Drosophila melanogaster: one gene and its partners. The protein of the gene in region 3 interacts with the protein of the main gene of each other region in a pairwise test. Each region holds a gene or a part of one and is shown on either strand. Other genes may lie near its edges.

Evidence for each region. Proteins that work in one complex are often made in the same cells at the same time.
Region 1: the proteins of CG32772 (region 3) and Eip78C interact in a two-hybrid assay, tested with the Drosophila melanogaster proteins (one large-scale study listed by BioGRID).
Region 2: the proteins of CG32772 (region 3) and B-H1 interact in a two-hybrid assay, tested with the Drosophila melanogaster proteins (one large-scale study listed by BioGRID).

Annotation. Positions count from the first base shown.
Region 1 is NT_037436.4:21,225,188-21,229,934, reverse strand, and holds the start of Eip78C (Ecdysone-induced protein 78C), read right to left. Parts: upstream 3,017-4,747; 5' UTR 2,463-3,016; coding exon 1,544-2,462; intron 1-1,543. UniProt on the Drosophila melanogaster protein: Induces the early late puff 78C which triggers puparium formation and development.
Region 2 is NC_004354.4:17,395,599-17,403,493, reverse strand, and holds B-H1 (BarH1), read right to left. Parts: upstream 6,017-7,895; 5' UTR 5,801-6,016; coding exon 4,978-5,800; coding exon of another isoform or gene 4,973-4,977; intron 2,030-4,972; coding exon 1,801-2,029; intron 1,667-1,800; coding exon 1,084-1,666; 3' UTR 216-1,083; downstream 1-215. UniProt on the Drosophila melanogaster protein: B-H1 and B-H2 are regulated by members of the wg signaling pathway; wg and dpp. B-H1 and B-H2 are coexpressed and functionally required in R1 and R6 receptor cells and primary pigment cells for normal eye development.
Region 3 is NC_004354.4:4,907,374-4,915,139, reverse strand, and holds the start of CG32772 (uncharacterized protein), read right to left. Parts: upstream 6,039-7,766; 5' UTR 5,821-6,038; exon of another isoform or gene 5,689-5,820; 5' UTR 5,382-5,688; coding exon 5,343-5,381; intron 4,289-5,342; coding exon 3,962-4,288; intron 2,760-3,961; exon of another isoform or gene 2,629-2,759; intron 2,398-2,628; coding exon 2,265-2,397; intron 2,196-2,264; coding exon 2,011-2,195; intron 1,937-2,010; coding exon 1,357-1,936; intron 1,295-1,356; coding exon 996-1,294; 3' UTR 1-995. Other genes in the region: CG6927 (uncharacterized protein), read right to left, coding at 6,533-7,680, 7,735-7,766.

The DNA of each region.
Region 1 (4,747 bases), on a different chromosome or scaffold from region 3:
CACATCACTTCCGAAACCGTTTAAATTTGTTAATATTTATTTGGTGATCAACTTTGGTGATGCATGTTTACATCATTTGTTTTTTCTTACAGTGGATGGCGCGTTACGCGCTTGTGCAATTGCAAATTGAATTTTTACAATTGGAGTGCAACAACAATTACAACTACAACAACGGCGTCTGGAAAATGTCGTCGGCCCGGGCAGGAATGAAAAAGAAAAGAAAACGCAAAGGAAACTCAAGTGGCTGCTTTTCATTTTCGCGCCGCGTTCAAATGCAAATCATTTGGTGGCTTTTGCAAGTTGACAATTTGAAACGCCATTGTTTATCCAGCCGAAGAAAAAGGGGTGCGGGTTGTGGGTTGACTGGCTGGCTGGCTGGCTGGCTGACTGGCTGGTGGAAAACTGCTTGGCATTTCCGCGTTGTCAGACAAGTCAGAGGCATGGACGATAGACGACAAAGACTTCATATTTCCTCGACTTTTTCCCATTTCCATTTTCATTTCATGCATTTATCTGGTTGAAGACAACTAATTGAGTGGAGTGGACAACGAGCGATTGCAGTCAATTTTTGCCCCGGCAGAGGAATATCAATTTGAATGCCGTGGAAAAAGCAGTCGAGATTTTGACTTTTCCTCTAATTCCCAGCTTGATTTCAAGGCCTTTCCTAACAGATTTAATTTTCATTCGCACTAATTGACGCAATTAAATGTTGCCATTCCAGGACTCGAAATGAAATCTTCGCCAAAAAATCCAGGCAATTTGCAAGTTCAGCCAAGCCGAATAGTATTTATAATGTCGAATTGTAGTTCAAAATATTATAAAATTTATTGAAAATAAACAAATTTATATTTAAAGTTAAATAATCATTTTCTTGGCTATTAGTGGCGGTAAATCATTCAGCAATAAAAATGTATTGGATTTAGATATTTATAAAAAAAATTGTTTAAAATATATATGTTGGTTTCTTTTTTTGAAAGTCTCTGTGTAAGCAGCAGCTGACCGTAGTAGTTATTAAGCCTATGTTTTGTTGCATTTCCGGTTCCAACTACCCATTCGTTCGAGCCACCAACTACTCCCGGAGGAGTAGAATGGGCTTAGCCCCTTCAAATACCATCATCCAAGGCAAAAGAGAGCCGAGACCAATTCAAGGCGATTTATGAAAATTAAAACATCTTTTCCATGGCTTTCAATTGCACTGCACCCAAAAGGAAAAGCAAATGCAGCGGCAAATGCAAGCACATTGACAGACGTGCAACATGAAAAGCAATTTCCTCGCACTAAAGAGAAAACTGAAACAGCAACAGCCATTGGCCAATAACAGCGAATTATATTCATTTTCACATTTTCCATGCTGCGCTTTAATAGTTTCCTCAAAAGGAGAAGAAACCGAAGACCCAACGACTTTCAATTGCTGTTGCAGCTATTATGCAATGAATGCAAATTTATTGAACACAATTTCAAAGACCGACAACAATGGTCCGCAGCAGAGGAGAGGAGACGACAACGCGGAAGAGTCGCAGTGTCAGTTGCAAATTGCACGTACCTTTGTTCAGATGCGCAACAGATGAAGATGTTGCTGCGGGGTTGACGACGCTGTTGTTGCTGCTGCGGCCGCTGCTGATGGTGCTGCTGACCGCTGACGAGGAGGAGGATGCAGAGGAGGATCCGCAGGATCGCGAAGATCCGGAGGAGGAGGCCGACGAGCAGCCGCTGTCCGGCGAAGAGTGGGCGGCGCTGGAGGAGGGGGAGCTGCTGCTGGTGTTGTGGTTGCTGGCCGGACCGAACTGATGCACACTGCTGATGGTGTACAAAGCACCTCCACCATTGCTCAGCGTGCAGTTGAGCTGATGTTGCTGCTGTCCAGGGTGTTGCTGCTGCTGCTGCTGTTGCTGTTGTTGCTGGTGGGTGTGCTGCCGTTGCTGCTGCTGCTGTGGGCTTAGACTGGCTGCAACACTCTCTGCTAGGGCTGATGTTCTATAGAAGTCGTCGCAATGCAACAACTGCAATGGATCAGCTTCAATGGCACTTAGGCAATCCTCCAAATCCCGGTGATGCTGCTTCTGCTGCTGATGCTGCTGTGTTTGCTTCTCCTCTTCCTGCTCGGATTCCAAGCTATTGGCCTCACTGTAGGCCCCTTGGGTGGACGAGTCCTCCGGTGTGTCAAAGAAATGCAAATTAAAGTCTGAATTTGCATTAAAATTGACTACCGGCAGCAGGGCTTCCTCGTCCTCGTCCTCCTCTTCTTCTTCGCCTTCTTCTTCCTCGTCCTCTTCGTTGTCCTCTTCCTCCGCCTCCTCTTCGCTTGGCTGTTCCTCCTCGTCCCGAGTGAAATCCTTGATGAGGTCCTCCTGCTTAACTTGGAGCTGCTGCTGCTCCGAAGACGAGTGCTTCACACAGGTTTCGACCAGCAGTTTGGAGCGGATTTGTGCCTGTTCCTCCAGCTCTATTTGGTATACATCCATGTTGCTCGGATCGAATCGGTGAGATGGGCATCCATCATCTTCATCATCGTCCTGCTGGCGGAAATCGACGTTGGCAACCTGCGAGGGCGCCTGATCAGCATTTTTATGGGAAATCTCTGCGATGTTATATCTTTTGCACTTAATGAGGAATCCGGAGAGGGCGTTTCAAAAGGATTCACGGTCTTTCAAATTTTCTTCGCTTTTGTCAGCTGTGGCTGAATTGAAAAAAGAAGTTAGGCTTTAGCATATGGCAAAGTCCTTTAAAGAAAATGCTATCCGATTTCAAAAGCTAGACCAATCTATCAAGTTCTGGTAATCTTGAAAAACCAATCATAATAAGTACGATAAGTTAACATTAAGTCTAAGAATAAGTGTATAAAATAGACATTAATTTTTGATATCAAGTAACCTAATATTCCCAATACTATAATATTTGGCCAATATTTCCTTTTTTCTATTTATTAGTTTGCTAAGTTTAGTTAAGGCCTTTCCCAGCCATGTACATATGTAATTATTGCCTCCCTACTTTGTGCGCAGTTCTTTCGTTAATGCTTGAATTCAATTATCACGATCATTTCGCATTTCTCATTACTAATCCCCTCGCTTAAGTTTGTCACTTGCACTTAGCCTTCGTAATAGCTTGTATTGCATAATTTTTCAATTCACTTCCGTGTTGTTTTCGAAGTCCTTCGTTTCCAAGTTCAGGCTAGTTCCAAAATCGGGCGCTCGTTTCGATATAGGTTCGTTTTGTGGCGGCACACTCGCGCGTCGATTTTATTATTTTTTGGGAGAAATGGTGATCGCGCGTACAAAACTCTCGCTTCGTCGAGATCCAAGCGCCAACTTCGCAGCGCTCCAAATGCGCCAGGGAAAATCCAAGCTAAACTGTAGAACCTACGACAACACACAAAAGTCCAAGACGACGACGGAGCAGCGGCGCAGAAGAACAAGAACGTGTCCCTCTGCGCCAGTGTGAGTAACTGTGCGCTGGTCTGTGTGTGGAAAGAGCAGGAAAATAGAATGCATTGCGTCTGTGTGGCCCAATGGAGTGGGAAAACTGCGAAGCGCCGCCGCCGCCGGAGCATGAGGTGGAGCCGCTGGAGGAGATGAAGGGAGCAGATCGGTTGGAGAGAGTCAATGTGATGCGAGTACTGGAGGCTCTATCTTTCTAATCTCCACCAGCGCCAGCGACAGCAAGAGCAGCAGCAATAACAGCAGCCACACAAGCTGCAACAGCAACAACTTGGAAAGCTGCAGCCACATTAGAAACTGCTGCAGCAATAGAATCGGCAACAGCAGCAGCAACTGTTGCAACAGCAACAGCACAACAGAAACATGCATTGCCACTCTCGCTGTTGCAGCTGTATTTTGTTGCTGCACTTTTTCATTTGCAAACTCTTTTCCTGGTTGCTATTTTCAATTTCTATTGCCGCTGCCGGCGTTGCTGCCAACGTCGGCATCGACTTCCAACATTTCCAAGTGCAACCACACATCCACTCAAGATCAATTTCACACACACCAATGCAGCGAGCGAGAGCAATAGAGAGAGACTCGGACCGTTACTTAGTTTGCACTATCCTCGAGGGAGAGGGCAATGGGCATGTGTGTGTGCGCGAGAAAGAGAGAGGGCAGAAGTGTGGGCGCCTTCAAGGGGGGTCAAGTCAAAGAACCTTCAGCTGAGCAGGCAGGAAAGAGAAAGGCCGAACGGCAGAGTGGGAGAGCAAATTCTGCAATGCGGAAGTTTAAATGTTGCATGTTGCTTTTGCGTTTGTGGGCTGTTTTTCACCGAGAAGAAAGTGGAAAACTGCAGTTTTTGGCATGAAAATACTTTCCTGAAAATTATTTTTGAAGATCAAATGAAGTATTTAGGAATTTGCTTCTGAGTCAAAAAGGTTTAATGTTTTGACTTGAAAATAAAAAGCAAACAATGCCAAATTTTCCCGAAAAATGAATTTACATTCAAGGACAATGATAAAAAATAATATGATTGTGCAAATTGCAAGGGTACAAGGAATTAATTAACTAGGTACAGAAATCTCTTTTTCGAATAGTATTTTTTCCTTTTTCCCTAACGTTTTCCGCAATTTTCGTGACGAACGCCTGGCGCAAAAGGGAACGAACGAAAGTCAATGATCAGCGGCGGCGGCGACGTCAACTGCATGCTAGCTTGCCATTTTTCCAACGGGCAGCAGCGAAAGCAACCAGAAACTGTAAATAACAGGAAAACGGCAACTGGGCGATCGGTGGAGCCACATATCCACGATCCTCCGCGAAAGCGAAAAGCC
Region 2 (7,895 bases), about 12 Mb from region 3:
TTGGCCTAATAAATGCACTAATTGCGGTTAAATGCATTTTGCATGCAATTATTATCATTAGGGGTTGGCTCGCACGTCGTCATAAAACCCCCTTTCCCGCCACCCCTCCCCGCACACATCGTTTGTAAATTGTTTCTGTTGGTCATTATATTAATTGCCCCGGGACACGTCCAACCTCCCCCACTCCCAACGAAATCCCGCAGAACGATTGCTCTATTCTCACATTCTGTTATTTTTTATTTAGACAAAAAAATATGCGGTTAAATGTACTTTACATTTTACAGTTACAACGTTTATAGGTCTAGGCTACCGACAAAAAAAAAATTGTTTATTCGATAATACATTTCGTGGTTAGGCTTAACTATACAAAATTATTTTGCTTTTTTGGCTGCTAGTTTTTACAACATTTAAATAAATATTTGCTTAATTTTACTTCATTATCTTATATTGAAAAAAAAAAACTCTTTAAAAAACATTTCGAATAAGTTACTAAGAGCAAATCAAATAAATTAAGCACACACACAGATTCACAGGGATATTAATATATATATACACACGCAGGCACACACACACACAAGCGGGGCTTAAGGGGAGATTCAAAAACGCGAATTCTTGTGGATATTGATCTTTGACAAATGTTTTTTTTTTTAATATGCATGTTCCATTCAAATTTTCGGTTCCATGATTTTGTTTTGAATACTGAACTCATTTGTGCTGCTTTTTATGACCTTAAACAATAATTTGTTTAGATCGTAAGTTTATAAATGCCTCCAAATATATTTTGGTTAAATTTAAACAAAATACCTTTGTACTAAAGTTTGAACCATAAAAACGATGTTGTGATATGGTGCACGAATAATGCAACTGCTGATTCATCTAAATAACCTAAATGCCATGTAAACTTTTATGTTTTATGGAACAATAAAATCATCGATCCGACTGATTTACAAAATGAGTGATATGTAACTTAAATTCGTGAAACCAACTATGTAGTTTATGTATCCCCTTGGAAATCGCACTTTTGAGACCGCCCAAACCCGATGATTAGCACACGCACACAATCGCCGCACTCCGGCGTACCGCTCACACCTGGATCTGATCCTCGTCGTCCGACTGGGAACAGCTGTCAACGGATCGTCCTGGCGGACTGCCCGGATTCAGCGTTGGACTCGGCGTCGATGGTGGCCTTGGTGGCGGCGAGGCGGATGCGGAATGGGCCGGAATCGGTTTGACCAGGCCACTGGGCGGAGATCCTCCGCCCACCGAAGGTGGTGGCGCTACCGGATGCGGTCCGCCCGGATTGGCAGCGGAGGCAGCCGCAGCGGCACTCTGATAGTAGCTGCTCAGCGAGGACAGCGAACTGGAGGCGGACAGGTGGGAGAAGGGTGCCGGACCCACGCCCACCCCGACGCCCACTCCGACGGACGGAACGCCGGCGTATAGGTTGTAGGGCAGTGGCTTCTGCATGGCGGCCGCAGCGGCCGCTTGACGGTAATAGATGTCTATGTTCGTGTGGGGCGTGGCTCCGTGGGCGGCGCCGGCAGCGGCCGCATACGGCCAGGCGCCCAGGTAAGGCGATCCGCCGTAAAGTCGCTGAAAGGCCGCGAAGTTTCCAGCCTCTGCGAGGAGTTCCAGGCCCACTGCTGTTTGGCGCTTCCATTTGGTTCTGCAAAATGATAATAGATACCAAACTTTAGTATACTTTCAATAAGAATATATGTGTATAGATTTTATTGTATTTTCTTAAGTTCATCTTTGAAAACTAATACAAATTAAAAAATCATTAAAGTTAAAACCCACCTGCGGTTTTGGTACCAAGTTTTCACCTGGCAATCGCTCAGATCCAACTTGTGGGCCAGCTCCTGGCGCTCCTGAACGCTAAGGTACTTCTGCCGCTCGAAGGACTTCTCGAGCGTCTGCAGCTGGTGATCCGTGAAGGCGGTACGCGCCTTTCGCTGCTTCTTGCTCAGACCGCTCATGTCGCTGGTGGAGCCGCTCTTGACACTGTTGCCATCGTCATCTTTACCGCCTGAAAGAAAAGAGAATTTCAATTTTAGAAATATTAAGAAACTAAGGGCAAAAAGTCCATTATGTCTAATCTAATACCACATTTGGCAAAGTAGGATATGCGTAAAACTCCAAAACTTTTTATTATCATAAAATATGAAGTTTGTTTATAATACATACTATAATATTCACTTCCCCCTTTTAAACTTAAAACGAAGGTATATTAGTTACATTTCTATAAAACTTTAAATGCCTAAAAACTAGTTTTTAACATTTGCCGAGATGGTTTACCGAAAATCACTATTTGTTGGTGATTTGGTATGCCCATAAGGCTAATTCGATTTAGATCTCTGTGCGATCTATTAAAACAGTTGCAGATACAGTTAGAGGCTCGTTTATGGCCACGCAATTGCCGCTTCCGCTCACAAAGCGGTTCGTGTGTGTGTGAGTGTAATAAAAACGTGCCGCAAAATGTCTAAACTTGCCACAAAAAGCCGCAAGAGAGATAGGCAAGCTGACCAGGCCAAAGCACCCCTTTTTGCGAAAAGTGTTCTTGGCCAGAAAAGGCCGCTTTTCCACCTTTTCTGGCCAGCCATTTAGTACATAAAATTTATGTAAATTCAACCGATGGTGGTTACCCGATAAGCGAGAGCGAGTTTTTGGCCCATGGGCACGAGGGGGTTAAGGGGTTGACGCGGGCTAAGTAAACTCTCAAGCGTTAAATTATTTAAAGCGAAAACTTGCCAAGTGCCGCATTTAAATTTGGTCTAATAAGGCCTAGAAACGGGGAAATTAACAATCTTAGCATATTTTTGTTGTTTTAAGCATATAAATTTATCAGGAAGCAGACAAACAATAATAAAATCTTTTCAAGATTTTAATTTTGCACGATCCATTAAATAAGTGGACTCAATCTTTGTTATTGATAATGAGATACCAAGAAGTCAATATTATTTTATTTATTGAAAATCCAGCTATGCCTCTAATTGAACTTTGAAATATGAAGCAAATAAAGATGCATTGCTAATTATTTCTATTAATCATCGCTAATCAAGAGCTTATTTTGCCGCCAAGGCGAAAGTTGTTTACCATATAAAACGTAAACGATAAATGATTAATGGCAGCGATAAATGAGCGATAATGCCGCAATTGAATAAAATTAATTTGCAATTAAAGAAAATTACTCACGAATGTTGGCGCCGACTTGCTGAATTATCGATTTGCGGGCGATAATTTGTGGAGCGTTAAAAAAAAGGCAAAACCAAAAATCAAGAATTATGTGCCAAATAAAATTGGGCGACAGTGTTGTTAAAAAAAAACCTAATTTGTTTTTTTTTTTACAAATTTATAATTCAAATATAAGCTTTAAAAGTTAACTTTCCTATCTGATTTTATTATTATAATTATGATTTTTCATTAAATTTATAAATAAAATCTAGTGATCAATATTCATTTTGGTTTTTTTGTAACTGAAGCTGATCGCAATTGTGAAATTCCAATGAATTGACGGATTGCCGCCTTCCCTGCCCGCTGGCTGTCATCCCAAAAGAGCTGGCCGACGCGACTACCGTTTATAAAAGTGCAATTGGCAACAGGAAATTGCGGCAATAAATGGCACAAAACAGGGCCCAGATGGAGTGGAGCGCATGAGAAGCTGGCCAAAAGCGAAGTAAAACGAACCGAGTGGCGATGAGATGAGCAAACAGACTGCAACATTTTTTCGTTTGCTGCTGCCCGGCTGCCATTGCCATGGGGCGTCTATTAAAGCGGGTTAAATGCATTTTTATAACAATTTCCACAATTAAATGATTGCGAAGGGGGCAGGTGCGTGAGATAGGAGGAGGAAGCAGAGCGAGCGGCGAAGCGGGGAACAGTGAGTGCGATGTGTGTAATTATTTGAGATTTTTTCTGCGGCTGCGGCAGTTTTAAACTGCATTTTGTTGTTGCATTTCAGGCAGATCCTCTTCTTCCGCCAACCCCCCGCCCACTGCGAGCCACGCCTCCATTCTGCCATAATAGCTCTCAGATTCGCAGGTGCATGCCCCCAAGTTTGAGGAGGGGCGAGGAGGCAAGGGGACTTTAGAAGCTTCGCAATGACGGAAACAAAGCGTGAAAAAGTATTTTTTTTTTTCAACTAAAACCACAACAAATAGAAGCAACAAGAACGAGAATGTAAAATGGTCATGCAATAATTTTTACAGTTTGTTTTGCAAAGCGACATCGACGAGGGCCGCCGCCCCACCCCCGCGCTCCACACTTTAGCCCCCATTTCAGGCGCACGCTTCAATACAAAAGACTTAGGCAACGAACTTGACTGCTGCACAACGGACTTACTTATTTTTTACCTAATTGAATTACTTTTTCAATTGGCTATGATGAAATGCGTTTCACAACAGAACCATTAACACGATTTAAAGGGGAATTTGAGTAATTTTATTTTACGACTGCCTTTACACTCACTACATTTGAGAATTGGTTAAGTGCAAATATATTTAATATCACCTAAAGGGAATATGTTACTAAAACGCAATATCAATATCATTAATAAAAAATTTGCGTTCAAATTAAAAAATATTAAACTTATCAGATCTGCATGTTTTGTGTCTAGCTTTACAAAACAATCTGGACAACTGTTTAAAAAAAAAGGCAAGTGGTCGTAGAGTTGTAAAAATATCTGATATGTACTTTATAAGCTTAGCACCAGGCAGTGATAGCTTTATTTTAAAATGACTTGGATAATTTGAATATTGAATATTTTTTATCATAAGGCTCAACATTAATCAGATTTGTTGATAATTGGTTCTATTTCGACCCAATATTTGTTTATAAAACATTGCGAACTTGTTTTGAATGAAGAAAATTCCTGCTTGAAAATGCATTTTCGAGAATTAGCGAGAATGCTATACTGACCCACCACCCTCTAATGCCGCCAACACCCCACCCCCCGCATAGTACAGAGGCTCACCTCACCATTGCTACAAACGCTGTGATCGTCCATGTTGCCGCTGTCGCAGTCCTCGTTCTCCTCGTGGTAATCGCTGCTGTCGTCCAGATCGCCGCCCGCCGGTGGCGCCAGCCCCACCCCGCCATCCACTCCCCCGTCGACGGGTGGTGCGGCTACACCAGCAGCTGCAGCGGCAGCAGCGGCGGCTGCAGCAGCAGCTGCATTGTTGCGCGCAGCAGCCGCGGCAGCAGCAGCGGCATAGTGCTGTTGCATGGCCGCCGCATATTGAGCCACGTTTAACCCATTGCCGCCGGCGGTGGGTGGAAAGTGCCCCAGCTTGCCGTGCGGATGCATTAGCGCATGCGGATGTGTGTGCGGATGCGTGGGCGGATGTGGTTGTGGGTGGTGCAGGGCAGATGGCAGCACACCGACGCCAGCAACATTGGATGCCTCACAGTTATCGCCATTAATGTTGTTGTTGTTGTTGCTGTGAGCGGGACTGCTGCCGCCGCTGGAGCCCGAATTGTTGTTGTTGTTGTGGTGGTGCAACTGCTGGTGATGCTGCTGCTGCTTGTAGAAAGCGGCCGCCGCACTGCCCGCCAGAATGTCGTTGATCATGAAGCGGGACCGATTGGGCTTACCGATGCCCGAGGCGGTGGTGGTGCTGCCGCCGGAGGACATGGTGGTGGTGCTATGGATGCTGTGAGCCACCGCCGGTGGCTGCAGGCCGTAGTGGAGGTGGTGCTGGTGGTGCTGCTGCTGCAGCGTACTGAGGTGGTGGTGCAGCTGGGGATGCGCTGCGTTTGGCTCGCTGGGCGTTTGGGTGAGTATGCTCATCGAGTCTTTCATAGGACTTAGGGGGTTTCACTCTTTCTCCCTTTTCTTGCCGATTATTTATACGAATTATATTTGCTTTCAACACTTCACTAAAAAAATTCACATTCACTGGAGTTTCCTATAGATGTCAAGTTGTCTTCTATTTGTTTGTTTTTTTGTTTTCTTGGCCTTATCTCAACTTTTCACCCAGCGACGTCGTGAGCGGCTTGGCTGCCAAAACGAGACTGAACGTTTATGAAACGCACCTGCCCGATCCGCCGCTGCCAACGCTGCTGCCGACGCCGACTGCGGCTGAGGCTCGAGCGGCGGCTGTGGCAACAATTTTGCCACTTTGTCATAGGCGGTGGTTGGGCCGCATATGCTACCGAAGGCCGGAGGGGGATGGCCAGTCGCTCGCTTTCGCTGCCTCTCGCTTCCACGGCTCTCGCCGTCTCATCGGCTGTCACTCTCTCGCGCAGCGCCATGTTGCCGGCACCGTGGTGAATCCACCACGGCGTGGTGAAATAAAGTCTCTCCCCGGTTTCTCGGTTTTTATAGCACCAAATGTCGGTCAAACGCTCTTGAGCTCTTCAGGGCCTTGAAAAAGGCCTAAAATGGCGCTACGAGGAAGTTAGTTGGATCTGAGAGATGGAGACGATGCTACTGCATTACTATGTGAAGAGTACTCTTCTTTGTGAACAAAATATTATTCCAAAAATATTAACTCTGCTTTATGTTCACTGCTTTAACAATTAGACCATTAAGACATAAATTACCAAAACTTTTCAATTCCGAAATGTCAAAACATCTGTCTTTCCCATCACATAAGAATATTATAATACTTTTATATATATTCGCTTAGAAATCTGCGAATAACGTCAAGCCAGTAAACAATTTTATCAATCATGTTTTATCATTGATTTATTAAAAATAATCTTAGTCCCATTTGGCTTGACATATTTTAAGAGCTCCTTAAATGTGTTTGCTTTATATATTAGAACTTCAATTAACACCAAATTGTTCGATTTTTGAGTCGAAAAACCTTATACGCCCGACATTTGGGCGTCGCTTTTTTCGATTCCACGCTCTCAGACAACAAGATGGCAATTAAAATTTCACGCCAATAGCCCGGTGGTTAGGCTCACCTTTGGGTTGTTTCGGTGGCCACATGTTAGTCCAGGACTAATTGCAGGAAGGGAAGCGGAGCGGGATGAACAAATGCAATTTGTCGAGAGCGGCGGTTTCCGTTTGATTGATATTGATTCCGGTCGAGGAACTGAACCAACCTGGAGAGAACCATGAGCGGAAGGGGGAAAAGGTCAGGTGACCTGCGAAGGTCATTAGTGGCGGGGAAATTAGGGCGCCGGGGGCGGGGGTAAAGCGGACTGAAGCGCGCGCTTCAATTGCGGAGCGCATTAAAATAATTAGCGTCTGCCGGAGCATCAAATGCGAGGAAAAGTCAACCGAGTCCTTCGTCCTGATGACGGTTATTGCACTTAAATGCATATAATTGCCAGCCCAGTCGTATATCCTGCGGTCTGCGGTCGATTCGAGTTCGAACTGCCAATGCCAATTGAATGCTTAAAATAATTGCACTCGGCCAGCAATGTCAGCACTGAGAGAAGTTTAGTTTAGTATATTAAGTTAAAAACGAATTGGTTATAAAATATAATATTTAAATGAAGTAAGCCCAGAATTTGGCACTGAAAAAACCAAAAAATAAAGACAAAGACATAAGACAGAGACATAGGACCGAAAGGATACCCCCTTTTTTCTCAGTGCACATGCGAGAAATTATGAAAAAGAAATGTACAAATGCAGAAACCGCAATGCGCAGTTGTCCCAATGCCACACCCCCTTTGCCCCTCGATTACTGGACAGTTGCCAGCGAACTTGGACAGTTGGCAGCGTTTTTCCGGCCTCTTCTACGAACTGGCTAACAGTTGTCCATGTGCAGCCTTCTATCGCTCGGATACCTATCCACATATCCATATATCTATCTTTCGATCTACCTATCTGCGTATCTTGCCATCTGAAAGTAGCCTTAATTGGCCTAATGTCCACTCATTGAGTAGGACTGTTTGCACTGCAAATATCCGCAAAAGAATTCTGCATCAATGGAGATGCA
Region 3 (7,766 bases):
GTAATGGTTTATTAAAAAAAAAATAAAAACACTTAAGCTAATGCCTAACATAAATACATACCGAATTTAATCGAATTGTTTTTCACTTCTTGTTTTCGTTACTTTTCTCTATGCGTAATTACTATCAATTGTAGGTAATTTGTATTTGCTTTCTGTTTTTTTTTTTTTTTTGTTTTTTCAACATTATATTTTCCGTTTCGCTGCGCCTTTGCATTACAATAAAATTTTAATTCGATTTAAGTTTTACAGATTTCTCAACCCGATCTCATGTTTATATAATATAATGTATATATAGATGTGGGTGTTATGTGCATAATTTTATAAGTCAGTTGTGTTTTTGTCTGTCCATCTGGTGCTGCTGCTTTTTCTCCTTATCTCTTTCGATGTCATGCATTGCTGCTAATATTCTTGGAAATTTATTCAGGGGCATTTGGTTCCTCTATTGCTTTGGCTGCTGAATTCAAAACAGGAAGTGGGAGACAGACACCAAACTGAACCAGCAGCTTGCCGCCGACTCTAAATTCGGGATGTTTTGGAAGTCCACTCGCCGATTTCAAGATAATTAAGTGGATTCTGATACCCAAAAAGTTGATGCTGAACTCAATGCGAGAGTAGGACAAGTGCATCTCAGAAAAACTAAAAGCTAGCTTTAATCGATGAACTCGACTAACTCCCCCATTCCATTCTGATTCAGAATTCAAGGACGAAAACGCTTCCTACTGCCTGTTCCATACCTTTTTTTCACCAATCCAGCATACGCTTAACTCCACGGGTAACGCATATAAAGAATGATTTCTACATCAACTTCAGACACCCAAAAGTATTTAGAGATCTGCAGAGACTCCAAAACATCCGCGCCATATATCTAACATATTTTACGTGTGTATGTGCTGAATGTGATGCTACTTTGGCTATGGCTATGCTAATCAGGGACTTTAGCAGCTGATCGTTCGGGGCTTAAGCTAAAAGAGACCTTCTTTCCATTCTTAACTAGCCTACTTAGTGGGTATGAAACGCGCCTTGACCGCCTGTCCCATCGGCAAGTGCAGCAGTTGCTGCTGCTGCGCCGCCTGCTGCTGTTGTTGCGCCGCCTGCTGCTGCTGTTGTTGTGCCGCCTGCTGCTGCGCCTGCTGCTGTGCCGCCTGCTGCTGCATGTGCTGATTGATCTGCTGCTGGATGGACAGGCCGCTGACATTGCTGATATGCTGGCTGTGGAGCGATTCGTTGATCTCGATCTTGATGGCCGTGGCGGCCAGCGTTGTCGCCTTGTTCTTGTTCTTCGGCGGACGCCCACCTGGATATGCAACGAAAGGCGTAGTGAGATTCAAAGTGAATGAGTGAATGGTGAGCACTTACGTTGCCCTGTCGTGTGCTGCAGTGACAACGGCTGGCCGATCATCGCCAGCGGCTGTTGCGACGTCTGCAGCGTGCCCGCCTTCTTGGATCGCTTCGGAGGCGGCAGCTCGTGGTGGGCGTGATTGGTGAGCAGGTGCTTGGAGAGGTGCTGGCGCACCGCAAAGGACTCGGCACAATTGGCCACCGGACAGGAGAGGTAGCGACCCTCGACATGGCGCTGCACGTGCTTCTTCAGCAGCGACTCCTGATTGAAGCTACTCGGGCAGATGTCGCACTTGAACTTGAACTCGTCGTGCATCTTGAGGTGCTGGTCGAGATGGGCCTGCTGCAGGAACTTCTCGTCGCACTTGTCGCACTCGTACGGAAAGGCCAGGCCGTGGGTCTTCATGTGCGTATGCAGCTGCGACTGCAGTTTGAAGTTCTTCTCCGGACAACGCGGACAGTAGTAGCCGGTGACCCCAGCGTGCGCCTGCAGGTGCTGGTTCAGCGAGGTCACCTGCGTGAACTTCTTGTTGCACACGTTGCAGCAGTACTGCTGCACCTTGTGGTGCGACTTCATATGGTTGTTCAGGTTCGTCACCTGCAATGCGAGAACATATCGAGCCGTTATTATCATAAATCCTCTGCAATTTATCAATTTATCTTGGAACTGACCTGGGCGAAGCTGCGACCGCACTCCGGTTCATTGCAAACGAAGGGCCGTTCGCCGGTGTGCAGCCGGCGGTGATTGTTCAAATTGGTGATCTGCGTGAAGGTCTTGCCACAGTCCACGCACTGATATGGCCGATCGTTCGTGTGGATGCGTTCGTGGTTCCGCAAGTTGGCCGCCTGCGTGAAGCCTGAAAATCCAAGAGGTACATCGATTGTTAAGAACCAGATGATGTGTGCGAACGGCATATGGGACTCACCTTTGTGGCAGTAGGTGCACACAAACTTACGCTCCGCCGAGTGATTTCGTATGTGCGTCATGAGCGAGGATTTGCGCGAGAAAGTTTTGTTGCATAGCGGGCAGGAGCCCTCCTCGTTGAATATCAGATCCACCTTAAAGAAACAAATCGAACATTAGTTGCAAAGGGCTTGCCTTCTACCGCGGGTTACCTTCCATCAGAAAGGCATTATATATGATATGCCATTTTACTTTAATACAACCTACTATAAATTTATGCGAAAAACCTTTTTTCTAAGCTGTACATTATATATGCATATAGTTCTAACGAATAAGTAGCCAAGTGCACATCACTGTGTCACTATCGCCCTCCCACTCCCACTCACGCTCAACAAGCTGGCGGCCAAAAGAACGGATTGCAAATTCCCGTGCGAATTCAGTTTGTTTATTGGGGAATCACTTGAGTTACATTTAATATTTTTCACGAGCTTTTTTTTTATTATAATTATTTTATTTATTTTTCTGCGTGCCACGCACACCCACACACCAAAAGCGCCAACTGAAAATGAATTTTTTCCGCTTTACACAGCGCACAAAAACGCCGAGCTGCGTCGACTTCGACGTCGACGTCGACAGAGCAGATATTAATGGAAAAAGAAGCACAAAATATATGTGTATATACATATATCTATATATATATATATATATACATATAAATATAAAGGAAAACAAGAAAATGAGCAGTGCGAAATGTAGCAAGTGGAATAGAAAATACTCTCACGCTCAACACTTTTCTAACCCGTTTGTAATGCATATCTGTAGGGCCTACCGTTTTTAATCTTCTATAAGAACTTTCCAACACTACCACGTCGACTGTGTGATGGAATGAGACTGTACTGAAGTTTTTTTTTTGAAATTTATGTAAATAGCAGCAATAGTAAATAGTATCTAAACATGTCTGCAATAGAGCATTCCCAAGTCGTCGCAAGGCAATTTTACATTTATTTATACATTTTTTTTTTTTGCAATTCTCTGTTGCATGATGGAAAAAGAAAGGCAACAAGAACATGCAAAGAAACGGCGAAATAAGAAGTGAAGAAGAAAAGCAGCGGCTATGAATGTGCAGTGTGTCCGTGTGCATTTATGTATATGTATATGTAAGACTTTTGTGAGCGGGGGAGTAGTAGTGAAATGTAAGAAAATGAAGAGAAAATAGCACAACAATAATAAACAAGTGCAGCAAAAGGAGCAGGAGTCGAACTCCCTGGGAAGTAAAGCACTCTTCTGAAAACGGTTGATGGGGGTCTTCAAACCCCTATAATTCCAAATGCAATGCATCTACTGAGGATTGCAGTGAACTCTGTAATTAGGTTTAAATTGTCAATTTTTTTGAATCATTTATAGTTTGATGGGCAATTGCATTGATTGGATTCCTAAACCATAGAACACTTTTCGTGGACTATTAAACATTAGGATTAAATTTTAAATTTATTCATAGATATTAATATACATATTCAAGACGTTCATATTTTAGTTGAAAATAAGAACGACCTTCAGTTATTTACTTTATTTATCTCCTTTAGTAAGCCCTTTGCAGCACTGTATTCGCTGCCACTTCTTGCCATGCCTCTCGTAACACTACACGTAGTGCAACCCACTCACTATGCCCTTTGCAACACTCTCCCTGCCTTGGTATCCCAATCCCTGAAATGGACTTACGTCTTCGGAGTCGTCCTGCGACTGTAGGTTCTCGGAAGAACTGGATGATTGCATTTGCTGCTGTTGTTGTTGTTGCTGTTGCGAGTTCTGATGCTGCTGCTGCTGCGGATTCTGATGCTGCTGCTGCTGCGCGATGGCGTCGCTGTCGCTGGAGGAGGCCGTCGACGAGGAGGTGGCCGCCGCTGCTGCAGAGGCGGCAACTGCGGCCGAGGCAGAGGCAGCGACGGCTGCAGCGGCCGCCGCCGACTGATGGAAGTTGGAATTATTTGTCAACTGCTCCGAGCAGCGGACGCACGTGGGTATGCTATAGCCGGGCACCTGGAACAACTGTAGGGCGGGGGAATAGAATAGAACAGAACAGGACACGTGAATTAGAGAGTGCTTCCAATTGGAAAAAAAAAACCAATAATGCTCTTTATTTATTGTGGCAACTCAATCTTATTCCACACATACCCTCCCCCTTCCATGCCAACTAGCCCTTTCTCTTTTCCACCAACTAGAAATAAGAGCCAAGAAGATAAACACACGCACACACACAGGCACGCACACATGGAGAGCGAAAAAGAAAGAAAAGAAACTACAATAACAACAGCACCAGCAGCTCGTTGCTTTGTTGTTGTTGTTTTCATTTCATGTTATTTTTTTTCTTCGGTACAACGTTTTGTTATTCTTTCGCTTTTTGTTTTGCTTTGCCGCCGCTCTGCCAGCGGCGGCGGCAGAGGCGTCGCCTACAAAAAAGGGGTTATTTGGTAATTGTTTAAATAATGAACTAAAAACCAAGCAAAGTTAGATCTGTTTTGTTAGTTTTATAACCGCTTAACTTTAAATTTTTGGGCTTAGATGCCCAATATAGTAAACCCTCTGTCACTAAATTAACGCGCAGCCACTGCGTATTTGGCTGCCTTGGCGCAATTTCTGTCATTTTGTTTTAATATGTATTTCTTTTTGTGCGGTTCATGGGCGGCGGGAGGGGGCTGAAAGAGGGGGGCCTGTTCGGGGGAATAGGTTGAAAAGGAGTCAAAGTGAAAAGCGAGTGGCGAGCGTAAGCAAAATGTAAAAATAATATTTTTTCAAGTTGTCGGCTTGAACAACTTTTCGGGCTGAGTTGGCTAAAAATAAAAATTGTTCAGCAATAGTTTGGGGTCGCATGTGTATGTGTATTTCTTATTTCTGTGTGTGTGCGTTTGTATGTGTGTGGGGAAAGGGGGGCAATGCGCGCGCTTTTGAACCCCGCCCCCTGCGCCAACAACCCGCCCGCACAATAACAGTAGCGCGAATTCAATTGTTTAAACTCCACCAAAAGAAAAAAAATCAATAGAAATAACAAAGTGTATATACCTAAATCACATGTGTGTATATCTTTTTTTTTTTGTTAACATACCGTTGCCGTTTGGAAGCACAATCTACAGATGGTGTCCATTATAACAGTAAATAAGGAATAGGATGGGGAGCAGGAGAAGGAGGATGCACTTTGTTGCTGACTTTTGCCCCCTCTGCGGTCGTTGTTGTTGTTGTTGTCGTCCTTCTCCCTCGCAATTTACCGCTATCTTTACCGGTTAACATTCAGCGCCGTTTTTCTTTTTCGTTTATTATTATTTAGTTCGTTTTTTTTCTATCTTTTTCCTTTTCCTTCCTACTATAAGTTTGTGAACACGATCCAAACGATGTGTGGTTGTATTTGAAACTAACTTTTTGGAGTTTGGTTTGCGTTTGGATTTCGGTGATCGCTATATGGCATATTATGATGGCAAAAACAAAAAAAAAACTATATAAATGATATAGAAATTTGATTTATACGATATTTTCGTGGTACACACACACACGCGCGTTGTTTATGTTTGCCTTGCACTTGCACATACAAGCAAAAATGCGGCGCTGTTGTTGTTGCTGCTTCGAAGTTCTGCTTCTTTTTTTTGCTTAATTCCTTTGCCCTTTTTTTGGCGTAGTTACACGTGAAAAAAAAAACAAACCAGCGCGTTCGAATGCGTTTTTTTTTTGTATTTTACAATTCACGACGAAGTTTTTGTCCGTCGTCTTTTTTCCCTTTTTTTTGGGGCCCGATGTTATTGTTGCGCTGTATGCGTGAGCCGTGTGTGTGTATGTGTGGGGAAAAAACGAATACGATAAGAATACGCGGTATAGTTGTGCTGCTCTAACCCACAGGTTGGCTTGGCCGGTGCTCCTTGGCCTGGCCTATCGATATTTCTATCGATTTCCGTAATCGAAAACGAGGCGGGTAATGGAATCGTTGTTGAAAACAAGTTTTTTAATTTATTATTTATTTAATATTTAATTGCAAGTCCGAAAGATTTATTTTATCATAGGTTATTTTATTTAAATAATTGATGGTGTTTTTTAGGCAGCCATAGAATCATGAACTTTATTTTACAACAGAATAAATATAAAATCATTTTACAGAACAAAGTGAAACAAACATAATACAAAACTTTCACAATAATTAAACAAACTATGCTAAACGATGGGTACAAATAATAAACACTTTAAATTGGATACTTTTCACAATATTAAATCTACTGTGTAATCTAATAATAAAATGAAATGGACCTTTTTTTAAATACAGTAGACAAATGTCCAGAAAAACAGATTAAAGACGAGAAAGGAGAGCGGAAAAACGAATCTGGCTCGACTATCAATCCACATGGCTATTTCCTGGGGCGTTAGCGTGGTCCAGCCACTCAGATCGATCTCCTCCTGGTGCCCCGCGCTCTCCGTTCGGTTATTGTTGGTCAAAGTTTGGCTGCTGCTGGCAGCACTGATCGCTCCAGTGGACTGGGCAGAGCCCATGGATCCAAAGGCACTCTCCACAAAGTTAACATCCATCTTCTGGACGACGCGGCTGGTCCTCTGCTGATCCAGAACTTGGCCCTCCTTAATCGTGGTGATGGGCAAATTGACGGTTAGGTAATTGTTGAAACCGGCACCGCCCAGCGAGCCGGTATCCGCTGTCTTATGCAGAGCCGTGCCCGAAAAGGATCTGGATCTGGCGTGACTGCGTCGTCTGAGCAGATTCGGCGATAGAGTTGACTTCAGGATGTGTTTGCTGTTCAGTTTCTTGACGGGCACACTCTTCTTACGACGCCAAATCGTGTTAACAAAGGCGAACTCCACCATGCTGCCAAATATGAAGATGGTGCAGCCCAGGAACCACACCTCTGACACCTTGATGTAGCTAACCTTTGGCAGAGTCTTTCCCTGTGCCGAGGCCAGGGTAATGAATGTCAGCAGGGTGCTGGTGCCCAGCGTGATGCGCGGCGGCGCCTGATCTGCTTGCAGCCAGAACGATACCCAGGATATGGCCACAATCAGCATGGAGGGTAGAAAGTAGTCCATCAGGTAAAAGCCAACCACTCGCGTCAGGTGAACGGTGAAGCTGAGGGAGCTGTAGTTGCCGGCAAAGGCTCCATGACGCAGGTCACTCAAATCGGCATTGATTACCGTCTCGTTTGACCAGGAACGCTGCAGCACAAACTCGGTGAGATGCAGTGCCCCATCGTAGGTTATCGGACGCTTCTGCTCCCAGTGGAGGACCAGTTCCGACGTATTGTACATCCAACTCTCCAGCACCGTCGAGCAGTGCTGCTCATCGAATGGGAACTTCTTAAGGTTGAGCCAGCAATAGAGTGTCGCCTTGATGCGATTCGAAACGATCACTGTGCCATCGGGCGATATCGAGGTGAGGATGTCCTTCTCCGTGAGACCTACCAATTAGTTGCAATCAAGCACGAGTCTACTCCAGACTCTACCGTACTCACCCAAAATACTGGAGTCGCGCTCATTGGCTAGA